Schizosaccharomyces pombe: one gene and its partner. Changing the gene in region 2 together with the main gene of any one other region gives a genetic interaction. Each region holds a gene or a part of one and is shown on either strand. Other genes may lie near its edges.

What was found. Genes that interact genetically often act in the same process or in processes that back each other up.
Region 1: mutations in SPOM_SPBC1685.04 (region 2) and wdr7 together harm fitness less than expected from each alone (positive genetic interaction), as found in Schizosaccharomyces pombe (2 studies listed by BioGRID).

What each region holds. Positions count from the first base shown.
Region 1 is NC_003423.3:2,266,773-2,276,488, forward strand, and holds wdr7 (WDR7-like protein), read right to left. Parts: upstream 6,481-9,716; 5' UTR 6,423-6,480; intron 6,186-6,422; 5' UTR 6,005-6,185; coding exon 5,739-6,004; intron 5,659-5,738; coding exon 4,546-5,658; exon of another isoform or gene 4,503-4,545; coding exon 2,801-4,502; 3' UTR 2,796-2,800; downstream 1-2,795. Other genes in the region: imidazoleglycerol-phosphate dehydratase His5, read right to left, coding at 1-544; SPOM_SPBC16H5.14C (DHRS family dehydrogenase), read left to right, coding at 1,830-2,224, 2,276-2,406, 2,461-2,795; SPOM_SPBC16H5.12C (uncharacterized protein), read left to right, coding at 7,301-7,312, 7,367-7,529, 7,838-7,949, 8,009-9,716.
Region 2 is NC_003423.3:500,480-507,441, reverse strand, and holds SPOM_SPBC1685.04 (uncharacterized protein), read right to left. Parts: upstream 4,779-6,962; 5' UTR 4,570-4,778; coding exon 3,592-4,569; 3' UTR 3,249-3,591; downstream 1-3,248. Other genes in the region: htr11 (serine protease), read right to left, coding at 1-1,519; vma9 (V-type ATPase V0 subunit e), read right to left, coding at 5,580-5,640, 5,707-5,757, 6,046-6,137.

The DNA.
Region 1 (9,716 bases), 1.8 Mb from region 2:
CATTACTACCATATAAGCAGGTAACATGCAAAGTAATTCCAGCTGCTACCGAAAAGGAATATAGTAAGTGAGGGATCATTTCACAGGACAATTCCCCAACCTTTTCACGCTTTAATCCCAAATCGATAACAGCATAGGGCCGTCCCGACAAGTCAACTACGCTTCTAGAAAGAGCTTCGTCAAGTGGACAATAAGCATGTCCAAATCTTTTAACGCCGGCAAAGTTACCCATAGCCTGCTTGAATGCAATACCAAGTGCAATAGCAGTATCTTCTGCAGTGTGATGATCATCGATGATTAAATCACCTCTTGAGTAAAGTCGTAAGCTCCAGCCTGCATGTTTAGCCAGTGCATGATACATGTGATCCAAGAATCCAATTCCCGTGTCTACTTGGATTACTTGTTCTCCCTTTTGGTTTGCATGCTTGGAAGTTATAAGTTCATCAATAAAATTCGACTCTTCAGGTAAGGGAGCTTTGTCCAAAGCGATGGCAACGCTGATTTTCGTTTCGTTCGTATTTCTTTCTACAAAAGCCCTCCTCATCGTGATGCAAAACTACTCTTTTCAATTAGATCAACCGAGAATTACAGGAATTTATGGAAAACTTCCTTATTAAAAAATGACAAATAGTTCGGTGTCGTGAAATTGCAAGCCTTTTCACCCAAAAGATTTTTGCTAGATATTAGACTACCGCTATATCCAGCAAGCCAATTACAGGTACGGTAATTATTCGATAAAGCAAGTCAACACCCCATACACAAGATATCCTTAAACGAGGTGAACGATGTTTGTTAAAAATTCGCTGAAATTGGTTATTCATATTCAACGATATAAATGAGTTCAATGTCTTATTGTAAATAGCGTATTTAATTAACATGATATTAACTTTTCCTTAGCTTTAACTACGCAGTTTTGTATGGGAATGTAACGTCCGTTAGTGCACTGGAAAAAAAGTTATCTATAGATTAAACTATGGCTTTTTTATTAGGCATATAAAAAGTAATAATGAAATACATTTTAAAAACTTGTAAAATCTGCAACATCGAATTGAGGACCCGTAAAACTAATGAGCTGACCCTTTTGCACTTTATTTACTTTGTACGTAGATGCCTGAAAATTCCAACTGCGGGTTACCAAATGCAAAATACAACATCAACATGCGTTGGGATCATTTAATAAACATTAATTAATAGCATAGTTGAATGCAATGATATTTACTAACATACATATGTTCCTTTGATCTATATGCAACATAGAAAACTGAGCACGCTCAAACTTTCAAATATTTTAAAAACAACTAGTCGAAGATGAAGGGAAGGTATAGTGTGTACTATGTTTCAATATATAAGGAAATTGAAGACGCAATTCTTAATCGCATTTTTTAATGCTTCTTTTTATGATAGGCGTAATATTTTAAAAAAAAAACCATCACTTATCTTTGACTCTATAAGACTAATCAAGTTAAGATCAGGATGGGCATTCCATTTTTCGTAGTACGGATTGAATAATTTAGTTAACAAGTTCAATACAACATTGGCGATACTGATCAAAACTTTATTATATAAGTTTATAAAAGCAGTGTTCAACGATTTAATGAATTATTCTACTACGCGTGATTTTTGCTTACACTAGGAAATAGCTTTTGTTTGGCAGCATCTACTAAGGTTCTCTCCTTGACTTCGTCAAATACGATATTAGGGTCTTTAGACGATCAGAACTTGGACGTTAACTTATTCGAAACACAAAAGAGTTCGCTGCTAATGTTAACGACTTTCTGCCAAGTTTCCATTCAGCAACTTATCATATTTTTCACAGAAGTCATTCCCTGATGTTGAATCATATATTATTATTGGTGATTTCGCTTGTTTGTGCTGCCTTAACCCTTTCTTGGTTTCCTCTACTTTTCAGGAAACAATCCTATTCATGTGCTAAAGGACTGATTGTGATAACAGGAGGAAGTGGGATTCTTGGTCATGCTATTATTCAAGAGGCGTTGGATAGAGGCTTCAGCGTCGCCTCTTTGGACAGTACTGAGCCTGCATCTTTTCTACAGTACAATTCTAAATTTAGTGCTTTGAAATGTAATATTACCAAAGATAAGGACGTAGAAGGATGTGTCCATTCTTTGAAAAAGATGAACAGGACCCCTTTTGCTCTGATCAATGCTGCAGCTATTGCTCCAAAAAATCATTTGCTGTCTATATCAAGACAAGAATTACAAAAGTAAGTACAGGTTAAGCGTAGTAAGCCTTATTTTCTAACTGCTTAATTTAGATGCTTTGAAACAAATGTGATCGGACAGCTGGCAATTACATCTGCATTATTTCCTCTCCTTTTACAAGATCCAAATCCTCATGTGGTCAACATAGCATCCTCCTTGGCTTATTTTAGTGCGATGGGAGTCGGTAAGTGGGGTTGATTTTATAAAATTTGCTTTTCCTTTCTAACGTGATTAACAGGTGCCTATTCATCTTCAAAAGCGGCACTAGTTTCGCTACATGAAACATTAGAGGAAGAGGTTTTATCACAGCATCCCAACTTCAAGTTTTCTCTTTATGTTTTAGGGCAAATTAAATCTACAATGTTCGAAAAAGATACCCCAAACAGAGTATTAGCCCCTCTACTAGAACCTCAAAACTTAGCAAAAATTATTATTCAAAACTTATATACAAACAAATCGGGTCGTTTTTACTATCCATTTTACGCACGTTTTATGCCTCTACTGAGGTTTTTCCCACTTCCAATACAAAAATTGGCTCGTCTATTTAGTGGCATGGATAAAATTTATTCATAATCCACCTACAAGTCAATGATAGCAAAGGTGCTCCCAATATGGACTTCTGCTGATGACTGGCTAATCCATAGGACTTCAGGAATTTCAACCTCATTCGTTTTGTTAGTTTGTAATAATATACGTTTTCGGATCGTTAATGAAGGTGTTGATAAGTTCAAGAATTTTACGAAATCTTGGCTGTATTTCCAAATAATGCATTCCTTTTGCGTAGCACTGACTCCAACAAAATAGTCACCAGAAGGACTGGCGGACAATACCTGAATATCACATTCGGCGTTTTCCTTGCTGACGACTTTCCTTCTTTTAGCTATTTCATAAACCACAAGATCACCATCGTCAATGTAGGAATATTTTTCCACCTTACTATCAAAACATGCAAATGGAAATTGGGTTGCAATTGCGTTAGTAACGTCGTGAACTTCTTCAACCGAGCGGCTAGAGTAAAGGATTGGAAGTAATTTTTCCGTGATCAATTGATTAAATAAAGAAAATTCGGATTGTGTGTTTTCAATTGCCAAAGACACAACTTTTAGTATAACGGAACGTAAATTTGATTTCATTTGCTCATAAACTTCATCGCATAAACATGTAAGCAGTAAAACAGCATTCGAAACTGAGACATCCACTATTGATCTATAGAGAATGCTATTTTTATCATCCAAATCCTTAGTATTCTCTAAGGATGACAAAACCAGGTTGTATATAAACTTTGCAGGATCAATATGTTTTGAAAACACGGAAAAACCATTACTCAACAGGCGAATTGCTGTTAAGTCATAGTCCATACTTTCGGATTTTTGTAATAAATAGGAAGACAAAAATTTCAATTGTGAAACATCAAATGCTGAAGGCCGTAAACTGACAATTAATGACAAGATGTACAGTGAATGTTGCACCTCCTTTTTCAGATAGTACTCTCCACCTGTAGTCGTAAAAAACTCAAAATAATAATATATAAGCCTCTGAAGTTCCTCTGGAGATATAAGTTCCAATGTTCTCGACAACATTGATTTAATTATACCCTGCATAACCTTGCCTGAATTATTCCAGACGTATGAAAGAACGGAAATACTGTAATCAACCGTTTTCAGGTCTTTTAACTTTAATAATATTCCTTCAGTCAATTTGGTATCGCTCAGCCCATCATATTTACATAAAGGAACCATTAGAGAAAAATATAGATATAACAGCAAAGCGGAACAATTTGGTGCAGTATTTATTATTGACTTCATTTCGGTGTCAAATCGAAGTATGGCATTTCCATCTGGCTTACCCACACCAAGATGCAAACTGGATTGATCAAAAACAGTACCTAACAACTGATGCTCCATCTCTATATCAGAGTTTAGGAAAGGAGGTTGGATAAAGTCAAGGAACTCGTCAATATACGTTTTTTCTATGTAATTTTCATTAGAAAAATTGAGGTTCAGTACTAAATCATGAGCGTCTAAAAAAACAGTAACCAAATTATCGGTGAGTAAAGCACAAGAACCATGATACAAAGTAGGGAGGTTAGATTTATCAAAAGTACCAATAGATATGAACGAAGAGTCAATAATATCTGAATAATTTCCTTCAGAACATTTTTGATCCACAACGTCCCAATTTAATAGTTGAAAATTGTCATAAGCAACATAGATTTGATCTAAATCGGGAAATGAGTACAAAGTTTCAACTTGAGCACCATCAGATGGCAAGTAGCTTAGACTATAAAAGTCGATTAATAACTGATAACACACTGATAACTTACAGATTATAAGATTCATCCAAGGCACACAATGAGCCATCTAAACTCATAAAAATAAATAAGCCTGATGAACCAGAAGATAATGATTTCTTTGCATGAATAATTTTAGTAATTGAAGAAGATTGCAAAGCACGCTCGCAGAGAAATCTCCATCTTTCACCCTGAAGTTGTTGATAAAAGTAAGCCTTTCCAGTTTTGGTAGCAACAACTAAAATTGAGCGTGAATGTTCAGTTTCAAATATTTTCATATATGTTACAATTCCAGAAACCCTTGTAAAAGAGTAAAGAGGAGCTGGATCATTGTGAAGGTACCAGTCAAACAAAGAAAACATCACTAAACCAGAGGTTGTTCCAAGGAATAAATTAAGAGAGTCCGTATAAGCGTAGGAAACAGCAGCTGTATTGCTCAACTTACAAAGATTGCATGAGTCTACGGTTCCTTCTGTTAACCAATTGAAAGTTATTTTTTCGGGATAAACACACAAACTAACGGGTTTACTTTTTAAAATGGTGCACGATTTCCATGGAAAATCTCCAGAATACTTAGAAATTAATTCGAAATGAGGTTCAGGAGATTGATGAAGTTTGAGTAAAGTTGAAGACGAAAGAGTAAAAATACAAGCCGTGCCATCAGCCAAAACAAATACAGATGTTATCTCTGCAAGTGAATATGAAGCTATAAATTTCTCATGCGATTCCAATAGTACTACCGCATCCGAGTATACATATAGCGCATAATTGGAAGAAATGCAATCTGCTGGTACAACATCAATAACCTTACCAAAAGTTGGTTTAACATCTGCTTTTGTAACTGAATTTCTTTTAAAAGTAAGAGCTGACCAATCAACTGACCAAAGAGATACAGATCCATCTGAATAGGCGACAGGGATTAATAAAGCTTCGTCTTTGAACGGAAACAAAATAGGCCAGTCCTCATGACCAGTCCAAGTCGCAACTATCTGAAAGTTGGAGATTCTAATGAGATATATTTTCAAAAAGGTTCCGGTAACAGCAAGAAAGTTGTTATTTAATCTAAATAGCTTTAAACATAGCCCGTCACACAATTGCAAAGTAGCTCGTCGGTCACATGTTTTCAGTAGCCATTGACAAAGTAATCTGAGAAAATGTTAGCAAGAAATAAGTTAAATAATGAATTTGATAATTGCTGCTCGGCTAATGAGAGTTGCTCAACATACCCAGATTCGTCGAGTGTAATGATTGATAGGTCTACAATTCCATCAGCTTCAAATGGAAGGCAAACTATAGAAGAAACGGAATGTTTGTGTGCTATAAATGTTTGGATCAAAGTGAAATGATTGTCTGTAGAAACGTCAAATACCATGACTTGGCCGGAACATTGGCCTACTATCAAATACTGATCAAAACAATGTATTGAAGACACGTCAAGGCCTTCATCTAACAAATGAGTTTTACAGCTTTTCGACAATGCAACCCAATCCATTTTGATTCGCAATCAACAACGGTCTAAGGCTGACATCAATTTTGAACGCTGTTCGAACACGGCTTCCCAAATAACCACTCAATTCAGTAATTGTTAAACCTTTTTAAATATAAAAGTAATTGAAAACGCAGAAAATGAAATTAAAACAATATTTAGGCAGACTAACAGTTGCCGCGATATTCTTGAATGTAAAATTAGCAAATTCGGAACGCAAACGAATAAACAAGATGCAACAAGTATTTGAGGAAGAGAATCTAAGAAAAATGAAGAACTTGCAACAGCCATAGACAAGAATGTCTAACAAATAGCCATGTAAACAATTCGTCCATCCGTCATTTAATAGAATGTATGCATCGACAGCTCCGATTGTATCAATCATTACATAAATCTCTTCATTCTTGAATTATATACAACTTACACTTCTCCAAAATTTATACCACTGCACACAACTTCGAATTCCACTCGGTGGTGGGAATGTGCTGCTGTGCTACTTGAAGCACGCGAATACTATATGACCTAGTTGATGGGGCGATGCCCTTGCTTCCAAATCTTGACAATACTTAGTAGTAAGAATACAGCGTACAAACGAGTTTAAGTTATAGTAAACGAGCATTATTTAATAACACAAAAGAGTATTGTTGTACATAGAAAAAAACCGAAAAAATTGCTAACAGTCTTATTTTATTCAATTTGCCAAATAAACAGAACATTTACATACTTCAAATGTTGTAAATTTCGCACTGCAACTAGTATTCAAATCTCAACCTGGAAAAACGATATAACGAAATTGAAATATACTTCAGACTGTAGCATCATCTACTGTACACGAGGCAAACTTAAGTCATAGTATGTGTAAAATAAGTTAACAATTCCATTCCAAAGCTGCAACATTTAACATATACCCTAATAAACTCTGCCGTCCCGATTACCGAGCTTTCTCAAGAATTTTGTAATCCTTCATTGAAGCACCTTTTTTTTTCATATTTATATATAAATATATATATTAATATATACTAAATTTTATTTTTATTTTTATTTTTTGTGGAGTTTTATACTACAGAAATACAATTGTCACGTTAAAAATTTCAAAAACTATCTATTAACTGCTGCTTTTTGTGTATTTATATATTTAATTTACTTTACTTCGTTTGTGGTGGATCTAAGTTATAACATTACGAAGCAACATTCTCTTATTGTAGTAGGAAGTAGTACAGTGCCGAAACTGAGGCATCATCACAAAACCCTTACTCAACACCATTTACTGTTTTATCCGTTTCATTAGATTTTTACGATATAATGAGCGTGGATGTAAGTATAGATCTAATGAATCTTTGCAAAAATTTTAAACTAATTACATAAAAGACGGCTAAAAGTGATATTCAAGCGGAACCTTCAACTGGGACGCTGGAAAATAAATCCTCTAAAACGTACTCAGATTCCGAGAATAATTCCACGTTGGATGTTTCAGCTCAAGTACTCACATTGGATAATAAATCCAGGATCTTATGTATTGCCGATGTTCGAGGTAAGTATGCGTTGTTTATGGATTTAGAGCTGCCAGCGAGAATTCAAAAGCACCCCATCGGGGGAATTATCGACGATCGTTTTACTTTTTAAGATAAGAAGATGCGAATTTGTATGCTTTTGCATGAACTTATCCATAATGGCTTAGCAGGAGTTGAAGCGCAATTGCTCAATTTACTCATTTTGTCATTAAAGATCCTCGTTGGTTCGTAAAAGAATTTTGTCCATACACTTTATTCTCCTTAGCTATTCCTATCCTTAAAATTACTACTCTTTAATACGCGTTTTTACTAATAACTATCCCTTCAGGTGAACTGAGTTTAATAAATAGCCTGGTTGAGGAAACCAATGCCTCCTGTGTCATCCACACTGGTGACTTTGGATTTTTTGAGCGATCCTCACTTCCTAGCATATCTGAACGGTATGTTTTGTGTCAAAAATTTTTATGTTTCATTTTTCTTTGTTCTAACCTTTTTTCAGTACTCTTCGTCACATTGTCCAATTCTCGCCTCTCATAAAAAAGCTTCCTAGGTCCAAAAACTTTGATTATTATCCCTCGAATCCAATTGGGGATTTGAAGAATAGTATTGCTTCTCACCCCGATTGCCTGCTTTCAGAATTACCTCAATTTTTGTCACAAGAGAAGAAATTCTCAGTCCCTGTATATGTAGTATGGGGAGCTTGCGAAGATGTGCACGTTTTGGAAAAATTTCGTTCTGGAGAATATTCTATTCCAAACCTTAACATAGTGGACGAACTTCATTCCTACCTATTGCAAATTGGAGATATGAAAATCCGTTTACTTGGTCTTGGAGGTCCTTATGTCCCTTTTAAGCTTTTTGACAATGGAGACGGTAAAGGAACTATTGCTGGTGGCCAGGGTACTATGTGGACTACAATCCTTCAAATGGGTGAACTAATAGAAACCGCTAAGAGCCTGCTTGACAGAGAGGAGGCACGTATTTTTATTACGCATCATCCCATTGGAAGAGAAGGTGTTCTTTCTCAATTAGCTACTGCTTGCCAGGCTGACCTGACTTTATCCGCCGGTCTTCATTTTCGTTATGGAGCTAGCTACAATGAGTTTTGCGTAAATCATAGTCCTGAACATTATCTTCAAAAACTTTCGGCTGCCCGTGCACAGTTTATGGAAGTGTATGACACTGTTAAGGCTGAGGTTGAGAAGATGGTTACCCCTGAACAACATCATCTAATAAACAATGTTGTTCGCCTAGTCTCTCGCATGCCCGATGCAACTAACTCATATGCTATGAATAACATGCTTCCCGGCACTGCTTTTAAAAACCTATGGAACTTCAATTTATTAGATGCTTCCTTTGGATGGACTGTTTTTGTCGTCGAAAATGGGCATGTTCAAGTGGAAAGCAAATCTCATGGCTTTAATTTAGGCTATCGTCGCATGGCTTCACGTCGTAACGAAAATTATGCATCTCACATTCCACGCTCAACTTCGGAAAATACCGGTACCTATTATTACGCTAACAATAGGTTGGTGGAATCTCAAGCACAGTTTACCAAGAACAGAGAAGCTACGGCTACACCAACCGAAGAAGAACAGATTGAAGGGTACGATCAGGAACATACTGATGAGCTAGGAATGTCAAGAGCGAATACTACAGAAGAGTCGGCTGAGACTCATGAAGTAATCGAAGAGAAGTCGGGACCACCTGCTGCCGAGGAAGAACCCATTTCTGGCGTAGCAGAGAAGCCTAGTCCTAATGAAGAAGAACAACCAGCAATTGGAGGGAAAGAGGAAGTTGACGTTGAAGAGGTGACTAAGGGTACTGGAAATCTCGAGCTAGGTGAGACGACTACAGAGGTTACCATACTTGAACAAGAGAATGCTGCAAATGTTACAAGATCTCAAGCACAAGAAGGTAGAAGAACTGATATGCAGAAGGGCAACGATCGTGAATTCCGTCAATATAGTGGTGAGCAGCGTTATGAACGTTGTGGATTTCATATTACCCCTTGCAATTCTGAAGAGGAAGCCCGTTCTTACTTTAAGGACGGGACAGACAGCCTGATTACGAATATTCAAATTCGTACTTCACTCAATCGTTACAAAAGTCCCCAAGCTCCTCAAAACGTAAACCCCACTAACTATGCATATGTATTTGTTGAAAACCAGAATGCTGTTTCAAAGGCCCTTGGAAGCATCAAAGTT
Region 2 (6,962 bases):
TTTCATCATTCCTTGAAAAGATGCTAGCCAGGAAAAAGTGTCTATCAACTGTCACTATCGTGAATTCTTCTTCATATTTACCAAGGACTCTAAAGTGCATAGGCACTCTGGCATTATCCGTCAACTGGACCAAAACATCAATGAAAGCATCCAAAGTTGGAGTGGGTTTATTGGCAAGTCTGGTAACTAAAAAATCGCGGGTTCCAGAGGACCAATTGAGCATACCAGAAGAAGCCACATATGTACCAGAATTTAAAGAAAATTGGTATGAACGAGCAAGCTGATAAGACAAATCGTGAAGCACCGCGCCTCCGACTTCCAAGAAGCGTGAAGGCGTTACGTTATGCAAGTCTTGTACAGTCAGTTGAAACGTTAAAAAACCACGTTTAGGACGATAAACATGCAGCTCAATCGTTTTACCGACCATTTCATCTAAAACTTCGAATAAAGAGACAAAATCAACAATGTATGTAGACTTATGAGAGTCTGTTTTGAAAGCAATTAATATATCGCCAGGTTCCAAAGCCTTAGAGACTTCAGAATTTCTGAGAACTCGCGAAACAACCAAAAGACCAGTACTACTAGGAACACGGGTTCTACAATCGTATTCAAATTCCCTTGGAAGGCCAATGCGACTGAGTTCGTCGTATGACCAATGTAAAAACTCGGTAAGAAGAGTACCACGAGTAATAGGAGTATTGTTCTCAATACATCGCAAAGCTCGAACAACCCGGTCCAGAGGAAGATAAAAAGAAGAGGCACTGCTGTTGGATCCTCCCGAGTTTAAAGCAACGGCGGCACCAGAGATGTCAAGAACAGGACTGCCAGAGCTGCCTCCACTAGTTCCACTAGCTGCCTGATAATAAAATGTATTAAAATCGTTGTAGTTGTCAATTCCGTAGTTTGGAGCTGGACGATCAAGACGAGCCAAAGTGGAGCTTAAAATAGACAATTTTTCACCAGCATCGTTACCAATAATTCGAATATCTATACCTACCTTGGCTGATTCAGGGGAAAGTGAAATTTCAGTGACATCGTGGAATCGAATGGAAGATGGATCATAACGAAAGAAGCCAAAGTCATGAACAGGATCTCTGTAGATGGGATAAATATCAATTTCTTCATAGTTTATGAAAGAGGCACGAGCTGAAATGGGTCCTGGAGAAACAACGTGTCTGTTGGATAAGATAAGACCAAGTGTTTTATTCACGACAAAGCCAGTTGCGCAAAAACTACCGGCGCTTTCAGTATCAAAAGAGCGTAATGCGGAGCCTTTAATGGAAACGATACTTCGAACAACATTTTTAATCGTATTATCCCATGTATGGTGAATCTCTTTGGTATCTAGATAACGTTCTTCATCTGTATTGCGAATGGGAAATGGTTCGCTAACATTGTATAAACCTTCAGCAATAACATTCTGTTGCTGGGGCGTATTACATTCAGAAGTAATTTTATCAGGACGAAATTTGGGTAGGAAAATGTGATTAGGCCGATAATCGGAGGAAACTGGAGTCATGATGAAAGGTAGAAACCGACAAGAATGTAAACAAAAGCACAAGATACAGAAATTTATAACAAACACAAAGAAAAAGCGGTTGAACACTAGGTATACTTTTGAATCTCGATAGTGTTTAACAGGCTTTGCTTTGTAAACTGGACAAGCTTTAATTGGAAGAATAAACGAATTTAAATAACAAATGAAAGTTTATAATAACTTTTGGGCAACACAAGCAAAGTTCTAAACGAGCCGCGAAATACTAATTATCAAGGCCAAATAAAACTCGAAAAGTCAATCAAGTACTGACACTTGTAAGCCTTTTTTGTAGGATAAATGGAGAACACTATATAGCGACAAAGATCTGTTTTCAGTTATACAAACATACAACAATGTCTGTTTGCAAGGAATTACAAATCAATTGCGCAATGGCTATCAGATGGATATATGAAGGAATTCCTATATAGAAATCTCAGTATCCTTAATTTGACTACTCAAGCAATAAGATAATTTACCTGAAACAGTTATAATATATTTAGTAAATCAAATATTTTGACAATCTGCTTCACTTTACTGACACACCAATGGCAAGATAACGATAATAATTGCAGACGGTGGCTTGAATAGTTTGCAGAAATCCTTTCCAATTCAGAGATAAGAAAAGATTAGCCTTTATATCTTTTTTTTTAATTAATCAAACGAAAATGACAGGAGTAACGACAAGTAGAAACAAAATACACACACAAAAACGAAACAATAAAATAAGTAATCAAGTGTATGAATGAGAAATTTTAAATCTTGTAAGCCGTAAAAAAAACGAAAAGATTTTAAAAATTCCCAAACTCCACTGTATGGACAAAAACGAAGCGAAAAGAGAATGGGATTTGCAAGAATAGTTTTGATAAGGTCAGTAGCAATCGGGGAATGCTATGATAATAAGCGTAGAACAATGATCTCCCTTTCTTTTCTTTTGCAGATAAGCTCGATCCTGAATTTTAAACTACGCAGTTAAAAGTAATATTTGCGATATGATGTCTAAATTTCGCTATTGGAAGATTCTTGTTTCATTCGTTTTGCCCATCGGCAACGCGGGCTTTCAATTCAATATATATGTAGGTGAACGATGTTTGCTGTAATAGTTAACTTCACTAGCGTCTCATACCACCAGCAGACAAAGTGCGTGGCAAGCCGTTTGATCAACAATTCTATTGCTCGATGATTTTTAAGAGTGATGTCAAAGTCCGAGTGCGGCAAAAATAAGACAGCGTAGCTTTAGAAGTGATTTCGATGAATTTCACTCAAACGGAGGATTGCGACGAACAAGGAGCCGCAATGTCGTTTGTTCAAAATCGGATTTCTTGGTTCCGTGACATTTTGCAAATAAGCTAGAATCCATCTTCATACGACTGTGTCGTATTGAATGGAAATGGAAAACTGAAAGAATGGGTTCGAAATGGAAAACGACATTCTGAGGATGTTTGACAGAATCGGTTATGTGAACCGAAAGTGAATGTACGTGGTATTAGCGTAGAATTGTTTGAAAACTAAAATGGTGTTACTTTTTGAAAACTGTTTCGTTTGTAGTAGGTTGATGGTTGAACAAGACAAAACAAAGATTATTAAGGTAGCTTTAGATTCAGGGATGTTTATTATGACAGTGTTTGATTTGGGTAGGAGATTGACAGTTTAAGTATGGAAATAGGCATTCAATAGCATATTTGAATTGAATCACTAATGAACTCGACTCGCATTACTTTAACATTTTGTCATTTGTTGTGTAGAAGAGAGTTTGAGAAGACAAATCAAAGATGATCAAAGTTGGTGTTATTAAATAAATATCATGCCGAAAATACAGCTGAAATAAATATTATATACGATTTTAACGATGTGGTGCTAGATGAGGCTGAAAATCTGGAGGTAAAATCATGTATGAAATATATATTTCTCCACAATTAACAGGTATCTTGAAGCCGTGCAGGGTAAAAGTAGTAAGGCTGTCGGTCAACACGCCAAGGAATGCATTGTGCCATTGAATGACCATATTTTAATATTAGAAGGTTGTATTGATAGTATACGGAATGAAAATTAAATTATTAGGAAGAAACGGGAGTCGAGGTTATCGCAGTAAGCATATTCTCAAAATATACAATTTCGAGCTCTAAACAAACAATGATTGGCTTCCATGTATTGGAGTCAGCAATCTGTCTCGCCGACTCCAAAGAGTGAAGAGTCGAGGTCAAGAGTGATAATACACTAGTGCGCTGAACGTCAGTTAATGGAGGCAAAGCAGCTTCTGATAAAGAAGTAGGCCCCAGTATTGAGATTAGTTTTGTTTCGACAGCTTGGATTTGATGGATCAAACGTTGGAAGAATTGCATTCCTGGAAGTGCTTGCCCGACCATTAGTCGCAAAAGATCTTCTCTTTTCTTCAATACTTCCATCCGTTTTTCAAGGGAAGATACATTAGCATGTGCATCATACTGCTCCTGCAGAGTTAAAAGGCGATCTTCCATACTGAGTGCCTTTTTCTTTTCTAGATTATCATAAGTCTGGAGTCGTTTTACAAGGGTGTTTCGTTGGTTCGTTACAATCGCCAACTTTTCCTGCAAAATTTGAATTTCCTCATCTAAATGTGTAATGCTTGTCTTTAGATTCGATATTTCTTCCGCTTTGTGCACCTCTGCCAGACTTGCTTTGGTCGATTCAATTTGGGATAAAATGTCTGTCTGCGAGTCCCAACGGCTCTTCAATTTCCTTTGCTGGCTCCTATATAAATCAGCGTTTTCTTGACAAGCTTGACACCATAACTGCAACTGCTCAGCGATGGCTTTTCGAATCCTGGTCAAGTCGTTGGGCTGTTTAGATTGAAACAACACTTCAGCCAGCTCATCCAAAAGCGATTGTATTTTCCTTTCCACTTTTGGAAAGGAGCCACTTTCTTCCATATTGTCAAAAAGCTCTAAGCTACGCGTTCTTGTCGATAAGCCAGAAGAAGAGGTACCTTCATCATTCAGCATCCCTTCATTAGACTTGTTTGGGAATTCGTCTAGCGGAATATATTCTTGTTTCATTTTAAAAAGGTATAATACACGAAAAATCTAGTAAATGCGTAAATTTGGTAAGTTCAACCCTTTTTTCTTCATAACAGAAAATTATATCGCATTCAACATCACTAGTGTAAGTTTTTCGCTTTTTTTATATACGAATCTTTATTTTTTCAGTCTTCCTATCTTTTCAAGAAACCAATCCGTTCAAAATCACACTGTAAAATGTATTTCTTAACTATCAGTGTGTGCAAATGTCTATGTGCTATAGTGGAACAATGTTGAATAGTCGCGAACTTGTGTTTATGAAGCCAGTAGACCTTTAATAACAATTCAGACTTTCTCTATCTCAAATATTTTTTTTAGTCAACTAAAATTGCGTATTAGGAGCGCCACTACTATCATGAACTTCAGTCCAAATATTAAACTAAACTTACAACATCTTAGAGTTTTTGGCACCAAAAAAACTTTTGAATATCCTGTTGTGTCTATTATTTCAATTTTTTATTGTATTTCTATATGATTCAGTATATTTGTAGCAAGGCTTTTGATAACGTAAATATACGTCGCCTTTCATACACACATCCGAGTAAAAGAAAAAGCGACAACCAAAAGACGGGGAGACCAATAAATCTAGTAAAATCAAAGAAAAGAAATAATGAAGGTATATCCTTTCGCAAAGATTAAATGCAATGTTGAAATCCACGTGAACCGACCTTTAAATAACGCCAGGTTCCAGCCATGACTTAACTGACTCCATATATATATTAAAATAAGAAACGTTTAAAGATATGGATTATAAAAATAAGAAATACTCAAACGTGTTTGATTTGTAATAATAATCGACAAACACCAATAGGATTTTAGAGACTAGAAAGTTGAGCCCGACGATCAGAAACGAATAGTATCAAAAAATAGGAAGAGGAAAAGGTTCAAAAGTAGATTCTAATTGGAAAGCTTGCAGTCTAAACGATAAGTAAAATAAAAGAGGAAGAATGTACAAACATTAAAAATCACTATGATTATACTAAACTTCATTACTCAAGAACTCGAGATGGAGCCTCTAATGGATGCAACTGTGCTAAATAAGTAATTGCCCTAAGAACGATGTTAGTAAAAAAGAAAAACAATATGGATGCATAAGAACACCACAAATGCACTAACCATAATAAATAGCAACAAGAAAAAGTAAGAATTAATGACATCTGCCAAGTACTAATTGAGAGTTAATAAAACTTTTGTTAAAGGAAGGAGTATGAAAATATAATACAAGCAACTGATCCCAATTCCAGATTGTCCATGTGCAGCTGAAGACAAGGCCTAAACAGCGCTACCTTGATTGGTTGCAAGAAAGACAATCACATATACTTTTCCATATCTCTAAACGAAAATGAAACGAAGTAAAAACAAGCTACTGATCATAACACAAGACTTTAAATGGGAACATAATTGCTATACCTCGATATATAGATGATTCACTCCAATCAGTAGCAAACTTCTTACCTAGTATTATTTCCCTTGGGCGAGACATAGTAAGAAACTACACTCATTAAGGCCGTCAAAAGGCCGACAAGTAAAACAACGAGACCACCCATTAGAATGCAAATTACCTACTTTCAATAAATGTAACTTGCACGTTAATGGTAAATTATCGAATGTGCGTCTCACATGAACATATACTGCAAATTAGTGACACCACGCATAGATAACGTAAACATAAATCAGGTAACAATAATCATACAAAGGCATTAAAAAAATGCTTAACATAGCCTTCCAGTTATATGAATACGATCCTTGAATAAAAAAATGCTCTTTAATGCTAGCGGACATCATAAAGACACCCTTCCTCCATTTTTTCTTATGAATTCTATTTATGGTAACCCTCAATCCATTACGTTAAACTAAATATTTAACAAATTTACATTACCGTGTTTACTATAACGCATCAGTGTCAGGCTCCCAAAAATTCTGTACTTTCCAGATTCTTTGAATACTATTATGGACTGGTTAGTTTCAAAAGAGATTGTATTAATTATTTTCTTAACTTCAAGTAGTACTCGGAAATCATTCTTCTCACTAGTTTATAAAACCACCGAGCACTTATGCAGAGAGTAAACTAACACATCCAATAATTACATCCACATGCTTAATGCTTTCTTATTGTACTTAACTTTCTTTTCATAACATAAACTTTTTAAATCACCAATTACACTTTTAAAATTCGTCTGATTACCTGCGCCGTAGAAGCGATGAACATAAAATGCTTTGTGTAGCTTCATAGTTATATCCTTTTGTGTAATATTATAATATTTTTACATTGCAAAAATGCAAAATAATAAAAAGAATTGAAAAATAAATAATTTCACCAGTAGTAAATGTCATCTATTTTTTCCTAATGAAATCAAAAATGACATTAAATT